4 linked regions of the Elephas maximus indicus genome follow. The protein of the gene in region 4 binds, or shares a complex with, the protein of the main gene of each other region. Links are inferred from orthologs where the notes say so. Each region holds a gene or a part of one and is shown on either strand. Other genes may lie near its edges. The genes, in order: GTF2F2, POLR2C, GTF2E2 and GTF2H4.

What was found.
Region 1: GTF2H4 (region 4) and GTF2F2 share a complex: the UniProt entries of both Homo sapiens proteins name them as parts of the TBP-based Pol II pre-initiation complex. The link is inferred for Elephas maximus indicus from reciprocal best matches to the Homo sapiens genes GTF2H4 and GTF2F2.
Region 2: GTF2H4 (region 4) and POLR2C share a complex: the UniProt entries of both Homo sapiens proteins name them as parts of the TBP-based Pol II pre-initiation complex. The link is inferred for Elephas maximus indicus from reciprocal best matches to the Homo sapiens genes GTF2H4 and POLR2C.
Region 3: GTF2H4 (region 4) and GTF2E2 share a complex: the UniProt entries of both Homo sapiens proteins name them as parts of the TBP-based Pol II pre-initiation complex. The link is inferred for Elephas maximus indicus from reciprocal best matches to the Homo sapiens genes GTF2H4 and GTF2E2.

The regions. Positions count from the first base shown.
Region 1 is NC_064832.1:35,134,170-35,141,158, reverse strand, and holds the start of GTF2F2 (general transcription factor IIF subunit 2), read left to right. Parts: upstream 1-3,966; 5' UTR 3,967-4,169; coding exon 4,170-4,235; intron 4,236-6,989. UniProt on the Homo sapiens protein: TFIIF is a general transcription initiation factor that binds to RNA polymerase II and helps to recruit it to the initiation complex in collaboration with TFIIB.
Region 2 is NC_064839.1:24,366,852-24,374,327, forward strand, and holds the start of POLR2C (DNA-directed RNA polymerase II subunit RPB3), read left to right. Parts: upstream 1-4,461; 5' UTR 4,462-4,545; coding exon 4,546-4,631; intron 4,632-4,814; coding exon 4,815-4,864; intron 4,865-7,115; coding exon 7,116-7,184; intron 7,185-7,315; coding exon 7,316-7,368; intron 7,369-7,476. UniProt on the Homo sapiens protein: Core component of RNA polymerase II (Pol II), a DNA-dependent RNA polymerase which synthesizes mRNA precursors and many functional non-coding RNAs using the four ribonucleoside triphosphates as substrates.
Region 3 is NC_064840.1:69,554,432-69,561,291, reverse strand, and holds the start of GTF2E2 (transcription initiation factor IIE subunit beta), read right to left. Parts: upstream 3,023-6,860; 5' UTR 2,792-3,022; intron 2,783-2,791; exon of another isoform or gene 2,576-2,782; 5' UTR 2,464-2,575; intron 1-2,463. UniProt on the Homo sapiens protein: Recruits TFIIH to the initiation complex and stimulates the RNA polymerase II C-terminal domain kinase and DNA-dependent ATPase activities of TFIIH. Both TFIIH and TFIIE are required for promoter clearance by RNA polymerase.
Region 4 is NC_064819.1:91,215,935-91,223,180, forward strand, and holds the start of GTF2H4 (general transcription factor IIH subunit 4), read left to right. Parts: upstream 1-4,226; 5' UTR 4,227-4,403; intron 4,404-4,992; 5' UTR 4,993-4,995; coding exon 4,996-5,135; intron 5,136-5,578; coding exon 5,579-5,683; intron 5,684-6,031; coding exon 6,032-6,163; intron 6,164-6,424; coding exon 6,425-6,521; intron 6,522-6,615; coding exon 6,616-6,704; intron 6,705-6,914; coding exon 6,915-7,026; intron 7,027-7,188; coding exon 7,189-7,246. UniProt on the Homo sapiens protein: Component of the general transcription and DNA repair factor IIH (TFIIH) core complex, which is involved in general and transcription-coupled nucleotide excision repair (NER) of damaged DNA and, when complexed to CAK, in RNA transcription by RNA polymerase II.

The sequences.
Region 1 (6,989 bases), on a different chromosome or scaffold from region 4:
AGGAATCTGGCTGCAATATCTGTCACCTTGTGGGTCTCCCAGTAAATTCGATGGATATTGTTAGGCTGTGTTCTCCTTTTCTCTCCCAGTTCCACAGACATCCATCCCCAAGCTGGAAGATGTTTGGAAAGGACAGGTAGGGAAAAAATTGTTCTTTGCTCAACAGTGTATGAGGACAGGTGCTCAGTAAATTGTTGGGTTTTTCCTCTTTCCCAATTTTATCATTTTTAAATCTTCATGTTTTCCTTTTTTCTCTACCCATTTCTTTGCCATTCTTTCTCCCACAACCCCTGTGTAGCATGCATGCACGCACATAAATTTTAAGGCTTCTTATAACTCATTGATCAAGGCCAAGGCACTAATTCTTTACTCTAAAGTCCACTACTGGAGTCCCCAGGTGTTGCAAATGGTAAATGTGCTTGACTGGTGTCTTAATCATCTAGTGCTGCTATAAGAGGAATACCACCAGTGGATGGCTTTAACAAACAGAATTTTATTCTCTCACAGTCTAGTAGGCTAGAAGTTCAAATTCAGGGCATCAGCTCCAGGGGAAGGCCCTCTCTCTCTCCTTCCGCTCTGGGAGAAGGTCCCTGTTATCAATCTTCTCCGGGTCTAGGAGCTTCTCTGTGCAGGAACCTCAGGTTCAAAGGACCCACTCTACCCCTGGCACTGCTTTCTGGATGGTATGAGGTCCCACTCTCTCTCCCCTCGCTTCTCTCTTTTATCTCTTGTAAGACAAAAGGTGATTCAGGCCACACCCCCAGGAAACTCTGTTTACATTTGATCAGGGATGTGACCTGACTAAAGGTGTTACATCCCACCCTAATCCTCTTTAACATAACCCAATCTTCCCTCATTAACCACAGGCAGAGATTGGGGTTTACAACACTGGCAAATTATATCAATCAGGAAATGGAGGACAACCACACAATATTGGGAATCATGGCCTAACCAAGTTGACACATATTTTTGGGGGACATAATTCAATCCATAACAACTGGTAACCAAAAAGTTGGAGGTTCAAGTCCAGAGGTGCCTTGTAAGAAAGGCCTGGTGATCTACTTCTGGAAAATCAGCCATTGAAAACCCTGTTGAGCACAGTTCTACCCTGACACATGTGGGATCACCATGAGTTGGAGTCAACTCAATAGCAACTGGCAAAGTCCTTTATTAGGGTGCTCCAGGCTACTTTACTACCCTTCTTTCATGGTCTCCTATTTCGATTTATTCCTTCTACTTCATCAAAGCTTAAAGGAGCTTTCTTCATCTGCTTGAACTCTATATGTTTTTGGGCCCTTTCCCAAGTTGTGATTCGAGAATACAGCCTTCCCTTTTAACACACTGCCTGGTTCCTGTCTTTCCTATTAGTTTTTCTAAAGTGATCTCAGAGACCTGATGGCTCTTCCTGGTCCTATGCTGCAGTGATGGGATTTCTTCGATTTTGTGCGTGGGTCTGATGTGTGATTTAATATATTACTTGCCATTCATACAATATCTTACTTCAGTGACTATTCACTCAACCAAAGCCTTTTGAAATGTGACAATGTGTCAAACACCGTGCTAGACATTATAGATATGAATAAATATTTCTGCCTGGGAGGAGCTCATAGCCTAGAAAGCAGAGGCAGGCATGTAAACATGTATATTTTAGTGCAGTGTGTTATGGGTAGGAGCCCTGGTGGCTAGTGGTTAAGTGCTGGTTCAAACTCTGAGGCCGTTCTGTGGGAGAAAGATATGGCAGTATACTTCCGTAAAGATTGCAAACCAAAGGGGGGGAGGGAACTCATTGCTGTGGAATCCGTTCCAACTCATAGTGGCCTTGTAGGACAGAGTACAACTGCCGCATAGGGTTCCCAAGGCTGTAAACCTTTACAAAAGTGCACTGCCACATCTTTCTCACACAGCACCACCAGCGCTCCCCCTTAAAGGTTAGGAAACCATATGGGGCAGTTCGACTCTGTCCTGTAGGGTCACCATGAATCAGAATTGACCCAATGGGCAACATGATTTTTTGGTTTTGTCTTAAGTGCCAGTGAAGTAAGTTAAGTGTCTTTCTTGTGGTGAAAAACAGGTGAAATTGTGCTGTACAGATCAGAAAATAAGCACAAATAAGCCCGTGTGTAACTTGCTTATCGGATAATCCGCCCCTGAGTGTCACACACTGTGATGTGAAGGGAAATGAACTTCCTCTGGGGCGTCGGCAAAAGGTCTCGTAGGAACTGATGTTTCCATTAGTCTTGAAAGATAAATAGAAGTTTATTCGAGGACGGGCTTATGGGAAGACTAGGGGATCCGAGGATAGGAAATCAAGTGTGAAGAGGCTCTGAAATAATTTAGGAAGAGCCTCACGAATTCAGGGAGGTCTGATAGGCTCAGTGTGGTTGTGAAGCCGTCACTGAGGCTTCCCGATCCGCTGCAGTTCCTACCCCCACTTGCAGCCCACCAAGCCTCCTGTCCTAACCGCTGTTTGGCCCCAGTGCGCTGAGGGCACTACCTGAGGCTTGAATTTGGCACCAACACCCCGCGCATGCGCAAACCAAGATCTCGGTGCCCACGCAGGCTCTGAAGAGCCGAGGCCTGGAACTTGACCCCTGATCTGAACTTTGCCAGAGCGGATGTTCTCCAGTACACAGCTGCACCGCAGCCCACTTGTAAAGTGAAAGTTCCCTTCCTTTACAAATAATTCAGCACCTGGATCTCCAAAAATGGACATGGGAGGATGGGGTGTCGGATTTGGGGCACCAATCCCACCCCCTAGGGACTGAAGGGCATAAAAGCTCTAAGCTCCCTTGGGGCTGGTAGCGCGTGGTCTTTTGGCTGCTAGGCCCCGCGTTCCTTGTCTGCACAAACAATAAATTTCCACTTTCTGTTTCCCTTACAACTGGCGGTGTGGCGTCTGTCATATTTCCATCTGCTAACAGGACGGGACAAGAACCCTCACTGGGTTACAGTGGGAAGTGTGGTAGAGTCAGGAGCAGGAGTGCAAAGGAATCAAACGGAGAGGACTCATGAAGCAAGGGGATTGAATTTTATTCTAGGGCCAAGTAGAGAAAAGAAATTTGTTTAAGCAGGGGAGTTCAACAATCAGGTTTGTCTCTTACGTGTTTGTATTGTCACTGACCTAATTAAGTCCAGATTTTGGAATCTAAAGACTGTGCTTACTCAATTATAGGTCCCCAGGGACAGCCTCTGAGTTGAGACACCGCTTTCTTTTCAGGTCTAGAAATGGCATGTTTTCAGATTACCTGGGGCAAATTAATCCAATCCCCATGCCCATTTGTGCTAGTTCACTTCCCGGGAAACTGATATTTGAAGAACTCCAATTTTTACTCTAGTTCTGTCCTTCAAAATGTTGTCTCTCTCTCCTTGGCCAGGGTTGGGCATATACTGACAGCTTCTGTCTCTTTAAATCCCATTGGTTATTCTGTTTTGATGCCCTCTTTCCTCAGTTAGGGAAACATTGGTGGTGTAGTAGTTAAGAACTATGTCTCTAACCAAAAAGTTGGCAGTTCAAAACCACGAGGCGCTCCTTGGAAACTCTACGGGGTAGTTCTACTCTATCCTATAGGGTCCTCATGAGTTGTAATAAACTCAATGGCAATGGGTTTTGTTTTGTTCCTTAGTTATAGGAGCCCTGGTGGTGCAGTGGTTAAAGCGATTGGCTACTAACCAAAAGATCAGGGTTGGAACCCAGTACCCCTGTAAGCTTACAGCCTTGGAAGCCCTATGGGGCCGATCTACTTTGTCCTACAGGGTCATTTTGAACTGAAATTGGCTGGAAGATAATAGGTTGCGATTTGAGTTTCTTTAGTTACGTTGACCTAGTCTTTAAAGGTACTGATGACGTTTTGGCCCGTCCCACCGTACGTTTTAATCAATCAGATAGGGCTTCTCCGGTAGCCACACCCACCCAAGCGCGGGCCGACTGGAAAGTTTGTCCCCAGCAACGCGCCGTACTGACGGTGGCAGTGCGCAGGCGCAGTTCCCGGCCCCCAGCGGCGTGTTCCTTTTTCCTCAGGTTTCCAGCTTCCTGGTAGCTGAGAAACCCTAGCTCCTCAGAGGCCACCTTCCTCCGCGGCTCGCCGGTTGCCCCGGACACTCCTCCGGCAGAAGTCCCCCAGCTGTCGCGGCCGCTGCCCCGGCTGCACGCCTCCACCGGCGACAGACTCATGGCTGAGCGCGGCGAACTCGATCTGACCGGCGCCAAACAGAACACGGGAGTGTGGCTGGTCAAGGTAATGTTCGCGGGACTCCCGCCTGTGCGCCCCCTGATAGAAATAGTTTAAGTGACTTACGATCGTCCCGCTCCGTACGGCTTTTAAAGTTCTTTTATGGCCATCTCATTAGAGCTTCACATACTTGGGGAAGTGTGGTCGTTGTTTTGCCCGTTTGCAGATGAGAAAATTAGTTTAGGGAAGCTGAGTGTCTTTCAGCCAATTGAGAGTCCAAGTATGCCTGGAATGGATCTGTTCCCCACGACCTGGCTTGCCCTGGTGCCCCGTCTGGTGTCCCCGATTTGAGCGGTGCATTTTATCCCACATCGAAGAATTCCTGAATCTTGTTGAAACGGATTTTAGTCTTGAGAGCACGCGGAAGAATCTACTTTCTCGGCCAGAAAGTAGAACGGAAGGTTGCTTACCCTTAAAATTGTTCTTTTAGGATGATGACCTTTAATAGGGCTCTCAGAAGAGTTCTGAACTAATGGGAGAAGAGGTCACTCGACCTTTCTTTTAGAGCACGATTGGGTCTCTTGAGACTGACCGTCAATAAATGTTTTATGTAAAGACTAGTATTGCGTCCTTTTCGTTTGCAGTCTGGGTTAGCCGTTAGCACAGTGTTTGTATTGACTTTTTTTATACTGAGAAGTGTTGTTTTTTGGGGGAGTTTCATAAGACATATGCATGTTCAAACTGTGATCATGACAGTCTTTGAACCTCGCATAAAATGTAGAGATCTTTGGTTTGTTAATGCTTTAGTTTACTGTCTTATCACACGGCCAAGTCCTCATCAGTTAAATATCAGAGAGGTTCTTCCTGTCCACCCCTCTAAAATAGCTCCTTTATGGTGATTTGGTAGCACGTCAAACTTTTGTTATATTCTTCAAAGTGTTTGTCAGAGTCTAAAGTGATTCCGTATTCATGCGTTCAGTGATGGTTACTCCCTGCCCCTCAACACCCACATACACACAATCACATTCCATTAGAACAGGACCCACAATAGTGTTTGGCACATTGGTAATTGCTCAGCAGATATTTGATGAATGAATGCATGATTTCATCCTTCAACCTTATCCTTAGTCTGTGGCACTCATTCGACTTATCTCACAGCCACATCAGCATGACTTAAAACGATCAAGTAAATGGGTGTCTCACTCCCAACTGGAAGAGATTGATTAAGGAGATAATCTGCTTTGTAGGCTAAAGAAAAGAGCTTGAAAAAGTGGTGAGAATGGAGATTATGGTTTTATGCTTGGAGCGCAGTAGATGCACAATAAATGTTGTTTGCCTTACAGGATTTGAATGGGTGGATCGAGCTATAGCATAGTATTCCATAGACCAAAAAATCTGTTGCCAGTGAGTTGATTCTGACTCATAGCGATCCTATAGGAGTGGAACAGAAATACAAGACTGGAAATGCATGTTAACATGATGCGTTCTGGAAAACAAAGAGGAGACTATTATGCCTAGAGCAGAGAGTTTGTGTAAAAAAAGCTTGGGACCATATACCCAAATTGTCATATCGTGAAACGGAGATGTTTTAGCTTTAAGTCAGTTGTTGTTGAGTGGATTCTCTCTTGATTTTAGTCTATAGAAAATGGAGGGTTTTGAGTAAGGCAGGGATGCATAAGATTCTTTTAAAAAGAAAATAAACTTGGCAGTATGCAGTATGCATTAGAGGGTAAGGGTGACCAGAGTCAGAATTCAGAAAGTTACCGCAGTAGCATAGGTATGTATGAGATGATGAAGTCTGAAGAGTTAGGAAAATGTTTTCAGTAAAAAATTGTCAGGATTTGCTGACTATCTTAGGGTACTTTAGAGAAACAGAACCAGACATATACATGTGTAGAGATAGAGAGAGATTGATTTATTTCAAGGAATTGGCTCACGTGATTGTGGGGGCTGCAAGATCAGTTGGTTAGGCAACTGGCTGTAGACTCCTGCACTCCCCAAATCTGCGTGTAGGTCAGGCGTTAAGAAGAGTGAAGAGTAGGAGTGTTCATATCTATTACGGTATGGAAGAGGAGTAGAACTCATCCTAGGGAAGCTTCCCTTTGCTTTTAAGGTCTTTACCTGATTGATTGAGGCCTGCCCACATTATAGAAGGTAATCTGCTTTACTTGAGGCCACCATATGTAATTTATAACAGCAACTAGTCTAGTGTTTTAGCAAACAGCTGGGCACCATAGCCTAGCCAAGTTGACCCATAAAGTTAACCATCAGTCTGACTAAATGAGAATGTGAAAGAACGTAATGAATCTGAAATTGAAGAAGTTAAAAGAATTTTGGTATTCTCCCCATATATGCACATTTGAATACATTTTATCTCTTTTAAAAAAAAAAAATCTTAAGCCGATGATTTGTTCTTGTTATTTCTTGCTTGCAAAATCATTGCTTCCTAGCATCAACTTGGTATGCAGTATTTCTTTTTTTATGTGTCAAGGAAATGAATGGACTTGTAAATACGTCTTTCCTGGGTATGAAAGGAATATGCTGGATATTTTCTCTTTCTTGCCAGTTCTTGTCCTCTGACAACCTTATTTCTGAAAGAGGAAGAGAATTGCTAGCAAATATTTTCTGTTGTAAAATCTGTCTATATCCCGCCTTTATTTGACAACTTTTATTTCTGTTCTAGTAAAAGGCGTCCCAATAGGCAATGGGGTTTGATTTGCACACCTAGCAGATAATATGAACTTGTTTCATTTGCACTGGGGTAAGTATTGAGGGTGATTTTCATGCCCATATCTAGAGAATACTTGGATTTTCATCTCT
Region 2 (7,476 bases), on a different chromosome or scaffold from region 4:
ACTGCAGTAGCTGTTCCAAATTTCATTCCAGTCTTTCCTTTATCCTTCATGGCATCCATCTTCACTCAGCAGACAACCTGAAGTCTGACTTGATGGAGAAGAAATAGGTGTGGAACAAGAAACCCTTCAATGCCCTTCCTTTCCTGTCTCAGGAAGAGGTGTCGCTCCTTGCTAAGGCAGACTGCTTTTATCTCCTCTCCTGGTTACTCTTCGTTATGCCCTGTAAATGAAGTCCCTGGCAAATTCTATTTCAGGCCCTCCTCTCTACATGAGTGCTGTGATTCTGAAGGTCCCAGCCACTCCTACCATTTCAGCTGCCACCTTTTTGAGGCCTGTTCAAACCTCTCTGCAGACTGGTTAGGGGACGTTGGTGATTCTTTATTGAGTATATGCCCTGTATGGGGCAAGCTGCTGGGGACTGAGAGTGCAGAAATGAAAAACCCCCTCCCCAGCAACTACACAGAACTGTGGATGATGTATTTTATTAAAGAGTATTGTATTTTTTCCCCAGCATTTTCAGAAGCCAAAATGACATGCATGATTCAGACTTGATAAGGCTGAAAGGGAAAGGGTGTATACCCATTCTTTAAGTACTTGAAAACAGGATTTAATATTAGCAAGGCTGCAAAGAAATAAACCAAAACCAAACCCACTGCCGTCGAGTCGATTCCAACTCATAGCAACCCTATAGGACAGGGTAGAACTGCCCCATAGAGTTTCCAAGAAGCGCCTGGAGGATTTGAACTGTTGACCTCTTGGTTAGCAGCTGTAGCACTTAACCACTACGCCACCAGGGTTTCCACAAAGAAATACTCTTAATACTGTGTCAATGAACTTCGTACAATCTTTCTACAGACCAGTTTGATTATAAAAATTGTACATTTTAGTTAAATGTAAAATGATTCAACAAGATCATTTATTTTTACCAGATTATCAAAGATCAAATATTTGGTAATACCCACTGTTGGGAGAGATGGGAAATCACAAAACCTGAGGGTTATGTGGAGGGCTATTTGACCATGTTTCTAAAAAAAGTCCATATACCCTTTGACCAGAAATTCCACTTCAAGAAATTTATTCTACAGATACACAACTGTGAACAAGGATGTTAATGTAGCCCTATGTATAATAGAAACTAGCCACAATCTAAATGTCCATTAGTATGTTGTTGTAAGGTACCATCACGTCAGTTCCGACTCATAGTGACCTTGTGTGTAACAGAACAAAACGCTTCCTGGCCCTGCACCATCGTCATGATCCTTGTTATACTTGAGCCCATTATTGCAGCCACTGTGTCAGTCCATCTTGTTGAGGGTTTTCTTATTTGCTGGCCCTCTACTTCACCAAGCATGATGTCCTTCTCCAGGGACTGAGCCCTCCTGGTAACATGCCCAAAGTACTTGAGACAAGTCTCGCCATCCTTGCCTCTAAGGAGCATTCTGGTTGTACTTCTTCCAAGACAGATTTGTTCTTTTGGCAGTCCATGGTATATTCAATATTCTTCACCAACACCATAATTCAAAGGCATCAATATTTCAGTGTTCTTTATTCATTGCCCAGCTTTCGCATGCATATGAGGCGAATGAAAACACCATGGCCTGGGTCAGGCACACCTTACTCTTCAAGGTGACATCTTTGCATTTTAACACTTGAAAGAGGTCTTTTGCAGCAGATTTGTCCAATGCAATGCGTCTTTTGATTTCTCGACTGCTGCTTCCATGGCTGTTGATTGTGGATCCAAGTAAAATGAAATCCTTGATGACTTCAATCTTTTCTCCATTTATCGTGATGTTGCTCATTGGTCCAGTTGTGAGGACTTATGTTTTCTTTATGTTGAGGTATAATGCATACTAAACGGCTGTAGTCTTTGATCTTTTTCAGTAAGTGCTTCAAGTCCTGTTCACTTTCAGCAAGCAAGGTTGTGTCATCTGCATAATGTAGGTTGCTAATGAGTCTTCCTCCAATCCTGGTGCCCCATTCTTCTTCATATAGTCTAGTTTCTCAGATTGTTTGCTCAGCATACAGATTGAATAAGTGTGGTGAAAGGATATAGCCCTGACTCACACCTTTTCCTGACTTTAAACTGCACTATCCCTTTGTTCTGTTTGAACGGCTGCCTCTTGATCTACGTACATGTTCGTCATGAGCACAATTAAGTGTTCTGGAATTCCCACTCTTCACAATGTTATCCATAATTCGTTATGATTCACACAGTCAAATGCCATTGCACAGTCAATAAAACACAAGTAAACATCTTTCTGGTATTCTCTGCTTTCAGCCAGGATCCATGTGACATCAGCAATAATAGTCGTATTAACTGGTCTTCCTTGTAGGCATATGGATATTATTCTATTACTGACAGCATTGTACGTCAGGGTAGATTTTTTGAAATGTTCTTTTTGACGACGAATGCAACACCATTCCTCTTGAAGCTGTCATTCCCAGCATAGTGGATCATATGATTTTCCAATCGAAAATGGCTACTACCTGTTCATTTCAGCTCACTAACGCCTAGGATATAGATGTTTATGTGTTCCTTTTCATTTTTGACAATTTCCAATTTTCCTAGATTCATACTTCATACATTCCATGTTCCAATTATTAATGGATGTTTGCAGCTGCTGCTTCTCGTTTTGAGTTATGCCACATCACCAAATGAAGATCTCAAAAGCTTGACTCCATCCATGTCATTAAGGTCGACTCTAGTTTGAAGAGGCAGCTCTTTCCCATTGTCTTTTGAATGCCTTCCAACCTGAAAGGCTCACCTTCCAGCACTGCATCTATGTTCCACTGCTATTCATAAGGTTTTTACTGGCTAATGCTTTTCAGAAGTAGACTAGCAGATCCTTCTTCCCAGTCTATCTTAGTCTGGAAGCTCAGCTCAAACCTGTCCACTATGGGTAACCCTGCTGGTATTTGAACACCGGTGGCATAGCTTTCAGCATCACAGCAACACACAAGCCCCCACAGTATGACAAACCGATAGGTGCTTGGGGGGATATTGCTGGTGTCCATCAGTATGGAACTGATTAATTATGATATATTCATATGATGAAATTAATTATTAAAGGAACAAATTGATTTGTATGTACTGATCATAACCCAGTAACCCAGTGCCGTCGAGTCGAGTCCAACCCATAGCGACCCTATAGGACCCTATAGGACAGAGTAGAGTGTACTGATCATACACAAAGAATATAAGAAATCTAGATTTTCTAGTTTTTCAAATTTATTTCCATAGAGTTGCTCTCCCAAATGTGTGGTTTCTTACTTCAGGCTAAATTAATTCCCCATGACCACCATAACTAGTTAGCACAAACTTGGTAACTAAAAAAAAACAGAAATCAATTCTCTCACAGTTCTGGAGGCTAGAAGTCTGAAATGAAGGTGTCTGCAGGGCCATGCTCCCTGTGGAGGCGCTAGGGGCGATTTCATTTGCCTCTTCCAGCTTCTGGTGACTGTCCATATTACTTGACTTGTAACCTTATTCTCCAGTCTCTGCCTCCATCTTCACATTGCTTTCTCCTCTGCATGTGTCTTCTCTGGGTATGTCTTATAAGGACGCTTGTCTTTGGATTTAGAGCCCCCCCAGATAATCCAGGATGATCTCATCTCAAGATCCTTATTACATCTGCAAAGACTTTTTTTCCAAATAAGGTCACATTCACAGGTTCTGGGGATGAGTACAGGGACATAGCTTTTTTGGGGGGGACCATGGTTCAGTCCATTACACAGACTGTGGAGCAAGGGCCCCCTCAGTACCCTTTCTCTTTGTCTCAAGAATAGGCGTCAGTCCTTTTGTTAAAGAGCTCCCTGCCTCCAGCAGTTTGAGGAGCCACATGCATGATCTAGACTTTACGGTGAGAGCGAAAAGGCAGATGTCTATTATTTGTGTACTTTGCTGAAGCATACTTATTGCTAAAGTATAATCTTATTTCTTCACAGAGCTTACAAATTTACTTCATTCTTTTTAAAGTCTTCATTATATTCCTATGTGTGTATATTTAACCAAATCTCTATCAATGGACAATTGGTTTACAAACAACCTTGCAGCCAACATCCCTGTACACGTATGCCTGTTCACAAATGCAAACATTTCTGCAGGGTAATTCTTAGAAGTGTAATTGCTGAGTCAAAGGGCAAATCCACTTCTTGGCAAAATTACTCTCTAAGGTGGAACCTGGTACATTTTTAAAGCAGGCTGGATTTACAAAGAAGTCCTGGTGGCGCAGCGGTTAAGAGCTCAGGCAGCTAACCAAGAGGTGGGCAGTTCGAATCCACCAGACGCTCCGTGGAGATCCTATGGGGCAGTTCTACTCTGTCCTATAGGGTCGCTATGAGTCGGAAGCGACTCGAGGGCAACAGGTGTGGTTTTTTAGGGTTTACAAAAGCATCTTCCGATTAAACGTCTGGCCCGCAGCGGCCCTGGCCTCCGATCGGCAGGCGGCGCTGTGAGCGAGTCTCTGCGGAAGCGGCGACGGCCGCGCTGGCTGACTTCCGGCGGCGGCGGCGCAGCTAAGCTGACTGCAGGGACTCCGCGGCGCGATGCCCTACGCCAACCAGCCCACCGTGCGGATTACCGAGCTTACCGACGAGAATGTCAAGTTCATCATCGAGAATACGGACCTAGCGTAAGGCCACCGAAGGAAGAGGCTGGTGGCTTGGGAGTGCTGGAATGCCTCAAACCCGGGGCGGGGATGGGGTGAGGGTGGTCCCTTCCAGAACTGCCCTGCCTGTGCCAGGGCCGTCGCTTTGGGAACCATGAGGCACGGGGCCGCCCGGCGCCCTCACCCCGTCTGGTTTTCATCCCTCAGGGTGGCCAATTCTATTCGGAGGGTCTTCATTGCTGAAGTGCCCATAATAGGTAAGCGACCCCTACCTCCTCGTTGCCTGGGCGACCAGCCCCCCGCCTTCGGTTTCCGCCCACCCACCTTGGGCTTCCTGCCTTCAGTCCTTGGTGCGGCCTGGGACGGGAGGCGGAGGAATAATCTGGACCGCTGAGAAAAGGGCAGTGTTGGAAACTTGCCAAAACCATGAACCCTTGGCCCAGCGACCACTGCTGGCCCCCTCCCTGGCTCTCACGCCACTTAGGTCTACCCTTCCGTGTGCATTGGTGAAGAGCGTGGGCTCGGGGGTCTACTGACGTGGGTTCGAATACTGTTTCACCTAGCACCTCAGTGAAACTTGGGCAAGTTATTAATCTTCTCTGTGCTGCAGTTTTCTCATCTGTAACACGAATAGTGTTTATCAGGGTGATATCAAGGATTAAAGGAGGTAGTCCATATGCAGGGCCTTGCATTTAGTGAGTGTTCAGTCCTGGTAGATGTCATTGTTTTTTATGACTCTTCAGTTGCATTTATGATGCATGTAAGTGCCAAGCGTGGTGCTGGGTGCTGGGAGTACAAACCTATATAAAATGAGGTCTTTGGCTCACGGGGAGAAGCCCTGGTGGTGCAGTGATTAAAGTACTCAGCTGCTAACTGGAAGGTTGGTGGTTTGAACCCACCAGCCACTTCAGGGGAGAAAGATGTAGCAGTCTGCTTCTGTAAAGATTTATAGCCTTGGGAACCCTATGGGGCAGTTCTCTGTCCTGCAGAGTTGCTGTGAGTTGGAATTTACTCGACGGCATTGGGTTTTGGCTCATGGACCTCACAGTGAAGTTTCAGGGGTGGGCAGTGAGTCCACAGATAACACTAATACAATGTAGACTCTGATGGGTATTTCAAGGGAAACAGCTGCAGTGCTTTCGGCAGTTAAAGGAAGGAGAATCTATTTCTTCTCTGGTTCCAGCCACCCCTCTTCAGGTATTTTATGTATTGACAAGTATGCTACAAGTATTTTCTGAGTGATAGCTCAGAGAATTTGGCTTAAGCAAAAAAAATATAAGTCATAGATAATGCATCAGGTGTGTGGCCTCTTAGGGAAGTAAGCAGGCGCACTGCTTGGTAAACAAGAAAACACTGTAGTTTATCCACCCTCCCCCATCACTTCTTCAGCTCAGAGCTTGGCACCTGACCCTCCCCCTGCCTAATCACTCAGTTTAGTTTCATGAGGAGTAAAATGAGGGAATTGGACTTTATGATGCAACTCTAACATTCTGCACCTAAGTGCGACTTTTTCCATAAGTTCAGTTCTACAAGTAACATCGAGCACCTGTTATAGCCCAGGCCATGGCTGGGCATATGAGGAGATTTCAAGATCTGGCTCAAGGAATTTTTAAAGCTAGAGGTAGAAACAAGACGTATACAAATACAACACAAGGCAAAATATGGCAAGTGTCTTAAGAGAAGTCCAGATGGAGTTTTGTGAGGGAGAAGCTTAAAGGAAGGGCGTGATTGCTTCTGTATCATCGAGGACGGACAAGACTTGGTGTTGAGAGTATCAAAGGATAAGGGGATGATGGGAGGAGGGGGTGAGGGAAGTAAAGAGGCAGAGGCAGAAAAGCTTGGGCCATGGTTCTTTTTTGAGTGACTGAATGGCTTGGGTGGGAGAAGCAGTTGAAAGCATTGCAGGATGAAGCAGCCTGGAGCCTGGCTGTGTCTTGCCTTCTTCTGATCTTTGAGTGTTAGAGACATCTGGCAGTTGGGTTCCAGTGTCATTCGACTTCTAGGTTTAATTGCTTATGTGTAAATGTTTACTTATGAATGAATACATGTGTGTTTAAGTGTGTGTGAGAGTAGTTCCCCGCCCTCCTACTAGCTCATTGCTAGTAGGGATTTGGGTTTTTTGCTCAGCATGTCTTGTCTATTAAAAGAATTCAGTAAACATTAGTGGACTGAGTGATAATGAAGTGCTAAATTGGGTGATCTGGTCTTTATATCAGAAAATGAGGTATGGACCATAAGTCTGAGGTTCCCCCCACTTAGGGCCCACATAGTTGTGTTCTTGGACTTAGTGTTGGTAGACTTAAGGTAGCAGATGTAACTGCTTCTCCTGGAAATACTCAGCTCAGAGAAACATGGTCCAGCCACTGGCATTTTCCGAGTTGCACAGAGAACATCCTGCATCTGCAGTGGAATCAGTGTCAGATGTTGCCTCCGTCACCAGAACCACTGCTCTCAGTCTTTAGGTGAATTCAGTGACTAAACAGCATCTCCGCTTCCTTCGTATTTCAGCCATTGACTGGGTGCAGATTGATGCCAATTCCTCGGTCCTTCATGATGAGTTCATTGCTCACAGACTCGGTGAGTGCTGGGCTTGGGGTGCTGTGCCTGGTCTCAGGAGGAAGCCTCCGCTCGCCTCCGAGGGGCCTTGTAGGTTCTCCTTTGGGCCTCACTACTTGACTGTCTTTAAAGTGCTTTTCTGTGTCTTACAGGATTAATCCCCCTCATTAGTGACGACATTGTGGACAAGCTGCAGTACTCCCGGGTATGCTGCCTGACTGGGTGGAATGTGGTGGGGAGGGAGTGCCTTTATTTCTCAGAGTGATTTGTCCTGACAACGTCCAGCTTGTACTAGATTGGAGTTTTAGAAAGA
Region 3 (6,860 bases), on a different chromosome or scaffold from region 4:
AACTTAGAGTAGCTAAAGCAAAAAAAAGATGAAGTAAAAGAGCTGAACAGAAGTTTTCAAAGGGTGGGTCAAGAAGATAAAGTATTACAATGAAATATGCAAAGACTTGGAGTTAGAAAACCAAAAGCTTGGAACTTCTCAACCTGAAAGATCTGAAGAAAAAACTCCAGCCTTGAGTTGCAATACTGAAGGATTCTATGGCGAAAATACTGAACAACTCAGGAAGCATCAAAAGAAGATGGAAGGAATACAGAGTCACTGTACCAAAAAGAATTGGTTGATGTTCAACCATTTCAGGAGGTAGCATATGATCAAGAACTCATAGTACTGAAGGAAGAAGTCCAAGCTGTACTGAAGGCATGGCGAAAAACAAGACTCCAGGAATCGGTGGAATACAAACTGAGATGTTTCAACAAGCAGATGCGGTGCTGGAGGTGCTCACTTGTCCGTGCCAAGAAATCTGGAAGACAGCTACCTTGCCAACCAACTGGAAGAGATTCATATTTGTGTCCAAACCAAAGAAAAGTGATCCAACAAAATGCAGAAATTATCAAACAGTATCATTAATGTCACACACAAGTAAAAATTTGCTGAAGATAATTAAAAAGCAATTGCAGCAGTACATCAATAGGGAGCTGCCAGAAATTAAGCCAGATTCGGAAGAGGACATGGAAGCAGGGGTATTAATGCTGATAGCAAATGAATCTTGGCTGTAAACAGAGAATACCATGAAGATGTTTACCTGTGTTTTATTCTCTATGCAAAGGCATTCGACTGTGTGGATCATAACAAATTATGGATAACATTGCAAAGAATGGGAATTCCAGAACACTTAATTGTGCTCATGAGGAACCTGTACATAGACCAAGAGGCAGCTGTTCAAATGGAACAAGGAGATACTACATGGTTTAAAATCAGGAAAGGTGTACATCACGGTTGTATCCTTTCACCATACTTATTCAATCTGTATTCTTAGCAAATAATCCAAGAAGCTCAACTATGTGAAGAAGAACGGGGCATCAGGATTAGAGGAAGACTCATTAACAATCTGAGATATGCAGATGACACAACCTTGCTTGCTGAAAGGGAAGAGACGTTTAAGCGCTTACCGATGATGATCAAAGGCTACAGACTTCAGTATGAATTACACCTCTACGAAGAAAACAAAAGTCCTCACAACCTGTTTATCATGATGTTGCTTATTCTCCCAATAAGCAACATCATGATAAGTAAAATGAAGATACTACCAACAGTGTCTACATCTAGCTCAACTGTAAAAAACAAAAAGAGTCATTAAAGCGATTTTTTAAATAGTAAAGCACCACACTATACAAATATGTTATCATTTCAGTATTACTATTTTGAGACGGGTTTGACAAGAAATAACAAAATGATCACACCGGAGTAAGGAAGGTAGAGTGTCTTGGGGCAAGGCAAAGTGTGATACCAAGAACGAGCAATGAGAATTCACAAGTGACATGGTGGGGGGCAACAGAAGACTGTAAACTCTAAAACGGGAAGCATTTGTATCAGTTTATTTCCCCTTGTTTAGATAAGTAATTAATCTGGGATTTTCCTAATGATTTAAACACAAATTCAAAGAAAGCCTTAGAGTTTAAAAAGACCTAAATACAGTATTTGATCCTCACAACACTATGAGATAATAAGGTATTAGTTTCACTCCTATTTTAAGATGTGAAATCTGAAGTGAAGCTGTATGGTTACAGTCACACAGCTGGGAGAACTAGGGCTAAAACCACAAATATCCTGACTACCGGTCAAGTGCTCCTCACACCGGATGGGAAACACTGCTTAAGGCCTCTGCAACAAAGGCCACCTGTGTGGTACTGCTGACGATCAATGAATGGCACCTAGAGCAGAAGGCTTACTAGTATCTCCCGTTTTCACCACTGCATGCTCTAGCTAGCTTTTCCTCTTTTCTCAGAAGACTTCTCAACATTCCTATTGAGTTTCCCATCCCTATGCTGAACTGTGTTACAGTAGACAGCACACATCACCATCCCCAGTTACATTAAAAACCACCACACAGACTCACCACACCGGTTCAGGGAGCTGGCGCCTTCCTCCAAGGATGGATTTTAAGAAGCCAAAACTAAACCAAAATCTTCTGCCTCCAAAAGCCACGTTCTTGCCACCACACCAGTCGCCTCTTTTATTTAGCCTTTCTACTTTTCCTCCTTTCCCTGACTAAGCCTCAGAGGTGTCACTGGCATCTAACAACACTGCTACCAACAGCCGGCAGGCTGAGAAAACACACAGAAGCAGAGAGTAGGCTGAAAAAGGTACCGCAGTATCGTTTTTGGAAAACGTCTTTAAACTACGCAGAAAACAACTATAACTGTATGACTAAGTTTAAGGATCATTACAAACTAAGTCTCCAAAAGCCAGCTTAAAAAAAAAAACAGTCCGTGGGTGAGTGTCTAAATCACAGCCTTGAGGTACCTGTCGGCACACTGTGGTTCCCGAAACTCCACACGCGGTTCCCTCAGCTACCGCCCATGGGAACGTGGGGGAGGAAGAGACTTCTCAGCTTTCCGACGGTGCATCTTCCCTCCTGCCAACCCAGAAGTTTGCTCAATGAACGCTCCGGCCTCAAAGACAAAGCTCCCACGGAACTGTTACACCCTTGCAGTGCTCGGCCGGGAGAGCCACAGCCCAGCCTTCCGGGGCTGGAAGCCACGCTCGGCCCCGCGGGAGGAGGTGGCGCGTCCCCGTCCGAGGAACAACAGCCCAGGCTCAGCGCCCCCCAGCCGGCGGCCGCGGCCCCTACCTCAGCCAGTAGAGCCGCCCCGCGCGACCCGCCGCCGCCTCCCCGCGCCTCCGCCAGGGCCCGCCGCCCACGCCGGAGCCGCCGCCTCTTCCTGCTCGCCGTCAGCACCCCCGCCTGCTCGCACGCACGCCAGGTCGAGGTCTCCCCACCGGCCGCGGCGGCAGCGGCTACTGAGGCGGCGACTCGGCCCCGGGCTCCGCCCGCCACTTCCTGATCTGGCTGCTAGGAGCCGAGTCCCGGCAGCCACCGCGGCGCCTTCGAGGCCGAGAACGCGCATGCGTCGTCACGTGACCTCGCCCCCTCGCCAGGGGTACCGCGGGAGGGTAACAAGCAGGCTCGGGCGTCCCGGATCCCCATGACAACCAGAGGGCGGGCTGGGGAGGGAGGGGGCGGGGCGGAACCGAGGGCGGGACTGAGGGGGCGTGGGGGAGCGTGAGCGGGCGGCGCAAAGGAAGATGGAGGACCCCTTTGCTTTGTGGCAAACTAAAGCTTCTGGTTGCTACTCTCATCGTGCTCTGGAATCTGTTGAACCCAGAGTAGGGGCGCCAGCTATTGAGTGTCTACACAAAATTCAGAAATTTGTGAATTTACCTCAAATGGCTGCCTCTTTCACAAGTGAGAGAACAGGCCCAGTTGGCCAGAGCTCAACTACTCTGTACCCAAAACTAAACCACTGCCATCCTGTAGATTCCAACTCAGTGACCCCATAGGGTTTCCAAGGCTCTCAATCTCTAGGGAAGCGGAATGCCATATTTTTTTCTAGCGGAGCTGCTGGTGGCTTCAAACCTCTGACCTTTTGAAGTAGCAAAAATTCATTTTCTTTAGTGTTTTAATATTAGAGAGAATATATGTTCTTATTTGTTTTAGTATAGCTGTATAAGCTGTGATTAATCTCTAGTCCTTGGAAAATGGTGCAGGCTCTGTTCAAAATATAGCTGAGCAGCCTGTTCCACTCTTAAAACATGATACCTTACAAACAGGTTTCCCCCTATTCAAAATAGGTGATGGAGAGCTTGACATAACTAACGCCCTAAGGATGCTCTAAGTAATCTCTCAACATTTTTTTATTGCACCAGATGTACCCATCTCTTCCAAAGGGGTGCGGAGCTATCTCAGCTCCTGTGGCCTTGGTCTTTCTTCTTTTTGTTCTCTTGAGAGATGGCCTTCAGCCTGCAAACCCATAGGAAGGCTCTCTGGCATTTTTAATCTGCAGCTTTTTTTTTTCGCTCCCTATCTCAGCCACAGTGGACTTGGCAAAACAGTTCCACTAGCCAAGAGATTGTTACGTGAGTTTTTCAGCCTGTTACAAATATACTGATGAGAGTCTGGATGCCTGACATGCATATCTTTAGTTGAATAGTTTTTTTGTGGTTGTTTTGTGACGTATAAGACCATCTGTGGACTACATGCTCAAAAGATTAGATAACCCTGATCTTCCCCATATAAAACTCTCCCGTCAACCCTTTAGGGTAGACAGAATTTGGGAGAAATTTAGCCCCCTCTGTCTCTTGAATGGAAACCCCGGTGGCGTAGTGATTAAGTGCTATGGCTGCTAACCAAGAGGTCGCAGTTCAAATCCGCCAGGCGCTCCTTGGAAACTCTATGGGGCAGTTCTACTCTGTCCTATAGGGTCGCTATGAGTCAGAATCGACGACGGCAGTGGGTTTGGGTTTTTGGTTTGGGTCTCTTGAATACCGGTATTCAGTAAAGCCCTCTTACTGCTTACCTCCTCCTGTCTGAGTATTGGCTTTGCGGCAGGCTGCTCGGACCCGCGATTTGTGGTAACGCTTTCGATTAGCAGACCGGCAGCTTTACCCACTGTACCACTAGGGCTCCTTCAACTACTCTGTAGCTGTAGTTTAATTGTGTTTAATTACTTAGTACTGGTTACTCCTCAAGTTACTCGACCTGTACCTAAGTTTTCTCATTTCGGAAATGAGGATAGTATTGTACTGCAAAAGACCTCTTTCAAGTTTTAAAAACAAAGATGTCGTTTTGATGACTCAGTTGCACCTGACCCAACCAACAGTCTTTTCAGTTGCTTCACAGGCATAGGAAAGACGGACAATAAAAAAGAAAAACAGAAGAATAGATATATTCAAATGGCGGTGTTAACAAAGAATATTGAATATACCACAGACTACCAGAAGAATGAACAAATCGGTTTTAGGAAAAATACAGCCAGAATGCTCCTTAGAAGTGAGGATGGTGGGACTTCAACTTGCTTACCTTGGACAGTCATTGAAAGAGACCGATCACTAGAAAAGGACATCATATTTGGTAAAGTGGAAACGAGGGAAACCCTCATGTGATGGATTGACCCAACGGCCACAACTGACTCAGACATACCAGTGATCAGGAAGATAGCGCAGAACCAGGCAACGTTTTATTCTGTTAGACATAGGTCTCCAGGGCAGCAAATCTGAGGTCAACAGGCAGACAACTAGTAAGGTGTTATGGAATAATGGGAAGGAATCCAAGACGAAAAAATAATCTCAGAATTTAAAATTGCATTGTCCCGAGAAACATTAGCAAGTTTTGTATTAATGTAGCAATTGTATTTCACCGTTCTTTTCCCCAATAGTTATATAAATCCCAGTGTCTCATGTCTTCATGGAATTAATTCTGTCACTCTGCTGGTTTCCTCATTAATGAGTGAGACAGAATATACAAATGCACAACAACTGGATCATAGAGGATAATAGAACTCTGACCCACATAACAAGCCAAACCACAACCTCTGCAGCAATTGCCACAGAATGTTCAGGACTTGCCCAAAGGCTACCAACTTCCCTATCCCCTGCCCCAACCCAGAACCAACTCGAGAAAGCCAAATATGCTCCCCAAATCAATCATATAAGATGCCCTACTTCTAGTTAGCCAACCTCCAGCTTCCCCTGCTGTCTTAGGCTCAGTTCCCTAGAGAAACAAAACCAGTAAAGCATATAAATGTATTTACATATAGAGAGAGAGAGACTTACATCAAGGAAATGGCTTATGCGATTGGAGAAGCTGGAATGTCCCAAATGGATCAGGATAGAGGCTCTTCCTGATTCACGCAGCTGCCGCAGGGGCTGGCAAACCCAAGACTGGCAGGTCAGAGAGCAGGGCTCTTGCTCATAGGCTGTGAACTTCAACACATCCCAAGATCAGCAGGCAAAGCCACAGGTAAGCTGCTAGCTCAAGTCCCAAGAACTAGAGGCTTGATCCCATTGTTGCAGCCACTGTGTCAGTCCATCTTGTTCAGGGTCTTCCTCTTTTTCACTGACCCTGTACTCTACCAAGCATGATGTCCTTCTCCAGGGACTGGTCCTTCCTGATAATATGTCCAAAGTAAATGAGACCAAGTCTCACCAGACTGGCTATACATCTTCCAAGACAGATTTGTTTTTCTGGCAGCCCCTGGTATATTCAATATTCTTTGCCAACACCATAACTCAAATGCATCAATTCTTCAATCTTACTTATTCATTGTCCAGCTTTCACATGCATATGAGGTGATTGAAAATTCCATGGGTTGGATCAGGTGCACCTTAGTCCTTAGAGTGACCTCTTTGCTTTTTAACACTTTGAAGAGGTCTTTTGCAGCAGATTTGCCCAATGCAATGTGACTACTTAGACTACTTTCATTAAATATTAGTTCAATAATGAACACACTTGTCGAAAGTGTTAACTTTACATGCAGGAAGAAGTTTAACGTCTTGGAATAACCTGATTTGTCTGCTCCTACGATGCTGTTTTGTGTGTGTGCATGGGTGGTGAAAAAACACACGACACACAGGCCAACTCAACAATTTCTACGTGACACTGACTACATCCTTAGAGTTGTAAAACCATTCTCACTATCCTTTTCCAAATTATTCTACCACCGTTAACATACACTCAATGTGTAAAATCATTCTTGCTATCCTTTTCCAAATTATTGGAAATTAACAAAAACTCAATGTCCTCTTAGCAAGAATACTCCGTATTTTCTCTTCCCTCCCACTTTGGTAACCACTACTAATCTTTGGTTTCATTATGTTTGTTTATTTCATATTAGGTGAGATCCCCAGTGTACTTTTTAATT
Region 4 (7,246 bases):
TAGGATTGTTTGTCTCCTTTGTGGTAACCTTATTATCTACCCCTGTTTTTCTAAATTTAAACCTAACTTTTATTTCTTTGTATCGCCGTATGTTCCTCTCCATATGGAAGGTGTATGATTACATTTCTTAGTCCCTCTTTTTCTAATGTTGTTTTCTTTTATACAATAACATTGCTCTTACCCTGTTTTGAGCTTTTTTTAAAAAATAATCTTGCTTTGTTTTTTGGATTTCCCTGTCTGGGTTGAATTCTGGTTGCTCTGGCCAGTGTTCTAGTCTTGGGTTGATACCTGATATTATTGATTTTCTAACCAAAGAACTCCCTTTAGTATTCCTTGTAGTTTTGGTTTGGTTTTTACGAATTCCCTAAACTTGTGTTTATCTGGAAATGTCTTAATTTCACCTTCATATTTAAGAGACAGTTTTGCTGGATATATGATTCTTGGCAGGCAATTTTTTTCCTTCAGTTTTTAAAATATGTCATCCCATTGCCTTCTTGCCTGCATGGTTTCTGCTGAGTAGTCCGAGCTTATTCTTACTGACTCTCCTTTGTAGGTGACTTTTCTTTTATCCCTCGCTGCTCTTATAATTCTCTCTTTATCTTTGATTTTGGCAAGTTTGATTATAATCTGTTTTGGTGACTTTCTTTTAAGATCTACCTTATGTGGAGTTCGATGAGCATCTTGGATAGGTATCTTCTCATCTTTCACGATATCAGGGAAGTTTTCTGCCAACAAATCTTCAATAATTCTTCCTGTATTTTCTGTTATCATCCCCTGTTTTGGTACTCCAATCACTCGTAGGTTATTTCTCTTGATAGAGTCCCACATGATTCTTAAGGTTTCTTCATTTTTTTTAATTCTTTTATCTGATTTTTCTTCAAATATATTAGTGGCGAGTGATTCATCTTTGAGTTCAGAAATTCTAGCTTCTATTTGCTCATTTCTGCTCCTCTGACTTTTTATTGAGTTGTCTATTTCTGTAATTTTATTGATAATCTTCTGAATTTCTGATTGCTGCCTGTCTATGGATTTTTCCAGCTCATTAAACTTTTCATTATGTTCCTGAATAATCTTTCTAACTTCTTCAATTGCTTTATCTGTGTGTTCCTGGGCTTGTTCTGCGTGTTGTCACATTTCCTTCCTCATGTCTTGAAGGGTCCTGTATATTAAACTTTTGTATTCTGTCTCTGGTAATTCCAGGAATGCACTTTCATCTAGAAGATCCCCGGATTCTTTGTTTTGAGAGCCTGTTGAGGTGATCATCATCTGTTTCTTTATGTGACTTGATATTGACTGTGGCCTCTGAGCCATCTATAAGTTATTGTATTATTTTATGCCTGTTTAATGTGTTGTAGCTTCTTGCTTTGTTTTGTTTTGGTATAACCCTATGGGTTGCTTGAGTGAGCTAGCTTGATTATTTTCACCTTTTGAGCTCTGACATCTGGTCCCCAGATGGCTAGAGCTGTTATCAGGTATATCAGTCTAGGAGTCCATTCAGTTTTGTTGTATGAATTCAGCTCAGGTTTCCGGGTAGCTGATCATCAAGTATGTGTTACAGGCTCTGTACTACAGACTTAGAGGGGCAGGGGTGATTGGCATATATATCGGTATCTGATTGCAGCAGGGGGTCACGCTCTGAACAAGGTAGGTGGCTGAGAACCGACTCCCGAGTGTCTCTGAGGAAAGCATGTCCCTGTTCCCTAGAGTGTGCAGGTGGGTGGGTTCTGCAGACGGACCATGGGCACCCAAAGTTTTTGATTGTAAGGTCTGGGAGGTACCAGTTATCTTTGGACCCCTGTCGCGGGTGGCTGGGTGACCTGAGTGACCTGAGTGGAGCTACCAGTCCTTAGGTCCCTGATATGGGTAGGTGGGGACCTTGTTTAATAGGCAAAGCAATGTCAAACATCAAACACCCACCTCTTAAACGCACAGCTGAAATGGTCAGAGTCTGCCAACAAGGGCCTATTCTCCCGAAATAGTCCCACACACGTCCATGCAGAAGGGAAAGGTGCTCAAAGTCCACGGATGGTTTATGCCTGGAGAGGAGCTGCTTCTGTCCTGAGGTCCCCGGGTTAGTGGAACTAGCAAATTATCTTTTCTCCCAAATGCAAATTTTTTCCTTCCCCAAGGCTGGGAGGATGGCTCTAGGTGCTGAACAGTGCCTATCTCAGGCCCAGGGAGTTCAGCCTCTGAAGCTGGCTTGGGGGTGGGGGGGCATGGTAAAATATACCCAAGTACTTAGCTTTTGCCAAGAGCACTGTTCTCCTCAGGTTCCGGAGGTGTGAGTGGGCTGTAAGGCTGGCTGCTTCTTCCTGAGGAAACGGTGGCCAAATGCTACTACCAGCCCGCCGCCGCTGCCGCTCCAGGAATGGTGCCTGAGGGCTCCCGGCGATTCAGGTTCGATAACCACTCTCCACTTCTGAATGGTCTCTTCCTCCCCCTGCCCCTCAGTTCGTTTTCTAAGCTTGCCTTTAAAGCTCAGGGCTCCCAGCTTGTCACAAACATACTGGTTTCACTTGTTTTTTCAGGTCTTTGTTGTAAAGAGGGCTCCCCAGAAGTGTCTGTCTATTCCGCCATTTTGGCTCTGCCTCTCGAGTTTTTTTTTGACTCATAGAGACCCCACCGGGCAGAGGAGAACTGACCCACAGAGTTTCCAAGAGGCAGCTGGTGAATTCAAACTGCTGACCTTTTGGTCAGCAGCTGAGCTCTTAACCACTGCGCCCCCAGAGCTCTGAAACTATTGACAGATACTGCCAAATTGCCCTTAAAAAGGCGTATGTCAACCTTTGACAAAAGTGTGTAAGTGAAAAAAATTTGTATGAGTATGCTCGTATATCCTTGTGAACACTGAGTTTGTCAAACCTTGTTTTGTTTTGTTTTTTATTGTTGAGCTAATCTTGTACTTTATGGTTTACTTTGATATTTGGTTTCAATTTACTTTTCCATAATTACTACTGAAATTTAGTTTTTTCATCTGTTTACAAGGCACTTGTATTTTTTCTGTTTATTGTCTGTTCATCTCTTGTGCTTTTCTTTTGTTTTTATTGCTTTGTAAGAGCTTTTTGTATTTTGTCTATTTTATCAAACATTTCTTCCCAGACCGTAATCTGTCTTTTAACTCTAACTTTTGCCATAAAAGAGTTTTGTCAGCTTTGTATCATGTTTTGAGGATTTTAAACGCTGACTGCTAAAGAAACAGACAGGGAATACAAAGCCTAAGAAAGTCTTACCATTTTGGGTCCAGTATCCTTTGCTGCCTCACAAATGTGCTTCAAATTCCAGCTTTTGCACTGTCTAGCTGTCTGATTGTGGGCAAATCTCTCAACCTTGCTGGGCTTCAGTTTTCGTTTGTAAAGATGGAATAATAAAACCTGCCTTATAGGAACTTGGGGGGAAGTGTACTTCTAGTCTGAGGACGTCCCCTCCCCTTTCCCTGCAGTAGATTTGTAAGCCAAATCAGAGCAACTTTTTTTTTTTAATTGTATTTATAACGACCTTCTAACTAAACGAGAGGTGACTGCGTGGTGGAGGTGGAAATTAAGATTTATTGAGTACTTACGTGCCAAGTAAGGTGCAATAGCCAAAAACCGAATCAATTACATAGCCGTGGAGTCAATTCCAACTCATAGCTACCCTGTAAAACAGAATAGAACTGTCCCCACAGGATTTCCAAGGCTGTAAATATTTACGGACGCAGACTGCCCGATCTTTCTACTGCGGAGCAGCTGGTGGGTTCCAACCGCTGACCCTTCGGTTAGCAGCCGAGCGCTTAACCACTGCGCAACAAGGCTCATTGGACCGTGTCAACTCCAAACTCGCGCAAACTTTCGGGAATGTGCTCTGTCCCAACTTCACGGGGAGTAACTAAGCTCAAGGAACCCAGTTCCCACGTCTCTAAGCCTAAGCGCCTCACACCGCGCCGCCTCAGCACGCCTCTGCCCGGAAGCCCTCCGGGCCCATCTACTCCCGGGACCCGCCTCCCGCCTGCCGCCGAAGCCGGTTAGATGCGATGTTAGCACCGTGGGTCGAGAGCGCCGCGGAACGAAAGAGCCCAGCCGGTATCCCCAGCTCTCTAAATTAAAAACCAGCCTCTCTCCTGCCCGCTTTCTCGCGGTGCGTTTCGGGAGTTGTAGTCAGACGCGCTTCGGCCTGCTTCGGGATGGACAAGAACAAGACTCCAATTCCCAGTATGTCCCGCGGCTGGGGAGTGCAGCGCCTATTCTCCTCCCCACTTTTCCACGCCTTCCTTTCTCTTCTAAATCCTCCGCTCTGAGTTCCTGCCTGTGAAGTCCTTCGTCCCTCTTGCCAGTCTTTTTCTCGCATTTTTTTCACCATTCTTTCTCTTATTCCTGGGAGCCAATGCGAGACACCAGTTCCCATTAAGCGACTGCTCGAGACTCGGGGTGCGCGAGGGGTATCGATCCAGAGTGGTGAGGGGCACCCAGGAGGGCGGGGGTGGCGGAGAAATGAGAGAGAAATTGAGAGGAGAGGAGTGGGAGGAAAGTAGGGGAGAAGTTAGGAGCTAGGACTATGTGGGATCACGGTGAATGGGGGGAAACGGTGGCAGGGAGACGTAATTTATTGCCGTTTCCTAGCACAAGTGGGGCTAAGAAATTGCAGATGGGAAGAACTGACAGATTTGGAGCTCATAGTCTGATCTGACCAGGGAGGATGGAAGGGAGGGAGGGGACTGGGTTCAAACTGGCTTCTTAGCCACTGCTCAGCTAAAAGTGAGACAAGCCATTGAAATACAAAATGATTTTTGCAAACATGGGACAATTAACAGAAGTAGGGTGTGAGGAGGCAGGCAAGTAGGGGAGCTTGGTCAGATTTGGGAGAAACAGGAGGAGATAAGTGAGATGGAAAAGGAAACCACAGAAAAGATGGGTTATCGTGGAGGAGGCTGAATCTGATCTCGAATCAGAATGAGAAAGGTGAGGGGTGGTACTGGCATGGTTGGTGGGAGTGCTCTTCTAACAATGCATCCTTCAGGTGATGGAGAGCACCCCTTCAAGGGGCGGACTGAACCGAGTACACCTACAATGCCGGAACCTGCAGGAATTCTTAGGGGGCTTGAGCCCTGGGGTATTGGACCGATTGTATGGGCATCCTGCCACCTGTCTGGCTGTCTTCAGGTGAGGACCCCCTTGAAGGCAGGGACCATGTGGTGGGGGGAAAATGCAATGAAGGCCTCCAGACTTGAATAAGTTATCATGGGTAGAGGCTTAGCAGCCCTGGAGAACTTGGAGATTACTCATAAGGGTGGTAGGCCAAAATAGATGGAGTTTGTGGGGCAGCAGGACTGGTAAAGGTGTGAGGGCTAAGATGGGACATTTGAGAGGCCCTTGATGGCATAGTGCTTAAAAGCTACAGCTGCTAACCAAAAAGTCGGCAGTTCGAATCCACTAGGTGCTCCTTGGAAACCCTGTGGGGCAGTTCTATTCTGTCCTGTTGGGTTGCTGTGAGTTAGAATTTATTTGACAGCAATGGGTTTTTTTTTTTTTTTTTGGTTTTGATGGCATAGGTGCAGCTATAAGGCAGCTTCTGACATTAACATTTGACATCTACTCCTCTGTAGGGAGCTCCCATCTTTGGCTAAGAACTGGGTGATGCGGATGCTTTTTCTGGAACAGCCTTTACCACAAGCTGCTGTAGCCCTGTGGGTGAAGAAGGAATTCAGCAAGTGAGTCTCTACTGCTTTCTCACCAGATACAAATTTCCCAGCAGGTGTATTTCCCAAACTGCTGTTCCTTCGAACACTCCCGGGAAGTATTAATGGTATTAATGGGTATGCCACAAAGCTTGTAATTAAGTTTGGGAACTCTGCATGCTATATTTCCCTCTCGGAGAGCCACGATATGTACTGAGATGCTCTGATAAGCGTTAGAGTAAAGAAATTTAAGACACTGATTTCACTCTGGAACAGTGTTCTAAGGATCTCTGGTTCAGAAAAGGCAGAAATCAAAGCTTTTATGGGCCTACTTCTTTTTGTTCTCCAGACACCCAAGTCACCTCTTTGCTTCTGTTTCAGGGCTCAGGAGGAAAGTACAGGGCTGCTGAGCGGCCTCCGTATCTGGCACACCCAGCTGCTCCCTGGAGGTCTCCAGGGCCTCATCCTCAACCCCATCTTCCGTCAGAACCTCCGCATTGCCCTTCTGGGTGGGTATGTCACCTCCATCTCTTCCTCACCTAGGACAGGGGAAATGATAAACTTCTTGGGGGCTAACTCCCAAGGGGCCTCCCTGTAACCTTGTGGGTGCACCTTTGGGAGCCCCTTTATAAATAAATCAGTTGGACCAGATGTAGCTGGGTGGGGTAGGAAATGTCCCCCACTCATGTTCCATGGGGATAAGGGGGGAAAGGGGGCGGGGGTAGGTGGGGAGCACAGGGCAGGTTCCTTACTCTTGGCCCATTTTGGCCATAGAGGAAAGGCCTGGTCTGATGACACAAGTCAGCTAGGACCAGACAAGCATGCCCGGGACGTTCCCTCCCTGGACAAGTATGCTGAGGAGCGATGGGAGGTGAGGACTTGGGACTGTGTGTGTCTCTGTTCATGCTGCTACTTACCTGTGGCCCTTAGAGGCATCACTCTCTCTGTTCTTTTCCATTTCTTAGGTAGTCCTGCACTTCATGGTGGGCTCCCCCAGTGCAGCTGTCAGCCAGGACTTGGCACAGCTCCTCAGCCAGGCTGGGCTCATGAAGAGGTACAACAGCTCCTGCTTTGCTGTCTCCTTGGGTCCCTGCTAAACTGGGTGTCTCGGGAGGATCAGGATTGGAGGGGTTGGCTGAAAAAAGGAGAGCTGGGTGGAGTAAGGCCAAAGATACCAAAAACAAACCAAAAAAAGTGAGAGGGCAAGTGGGGATGGTGGCCCTTCTCTGTGTATCTCCACCATCGTCCCTGTCTGTGTCCCTAGTGCTGAACCTGGAGAGCCACCCTGCATTACTTCCGCTGGCTTCCAGTTTCTGCTGCTGGATACCCCTGCCCAGCTCTGGTACTTTATGCTGCAGTATCTGCAGACAGCCCAGGTGAGGCCAGGGGCTGCTTGCCAGCCTGCTCTGCTCTTCCCAAGACAACTCCCAATGAGAGACCCCCACCTATAGGCTCTGTTTCCTGATTTTCTCTTTTCTCCTTCTCCTCCCTTTTCTCCCTCCTATCCTTCCTCTTTTTCTCTGCCCCTTCCTCCCTAGAGCCGGGGCATGGACCTAGTGGAGATTCTCTCCTTCCTCTTCCAGCTTAGCTTCTCTA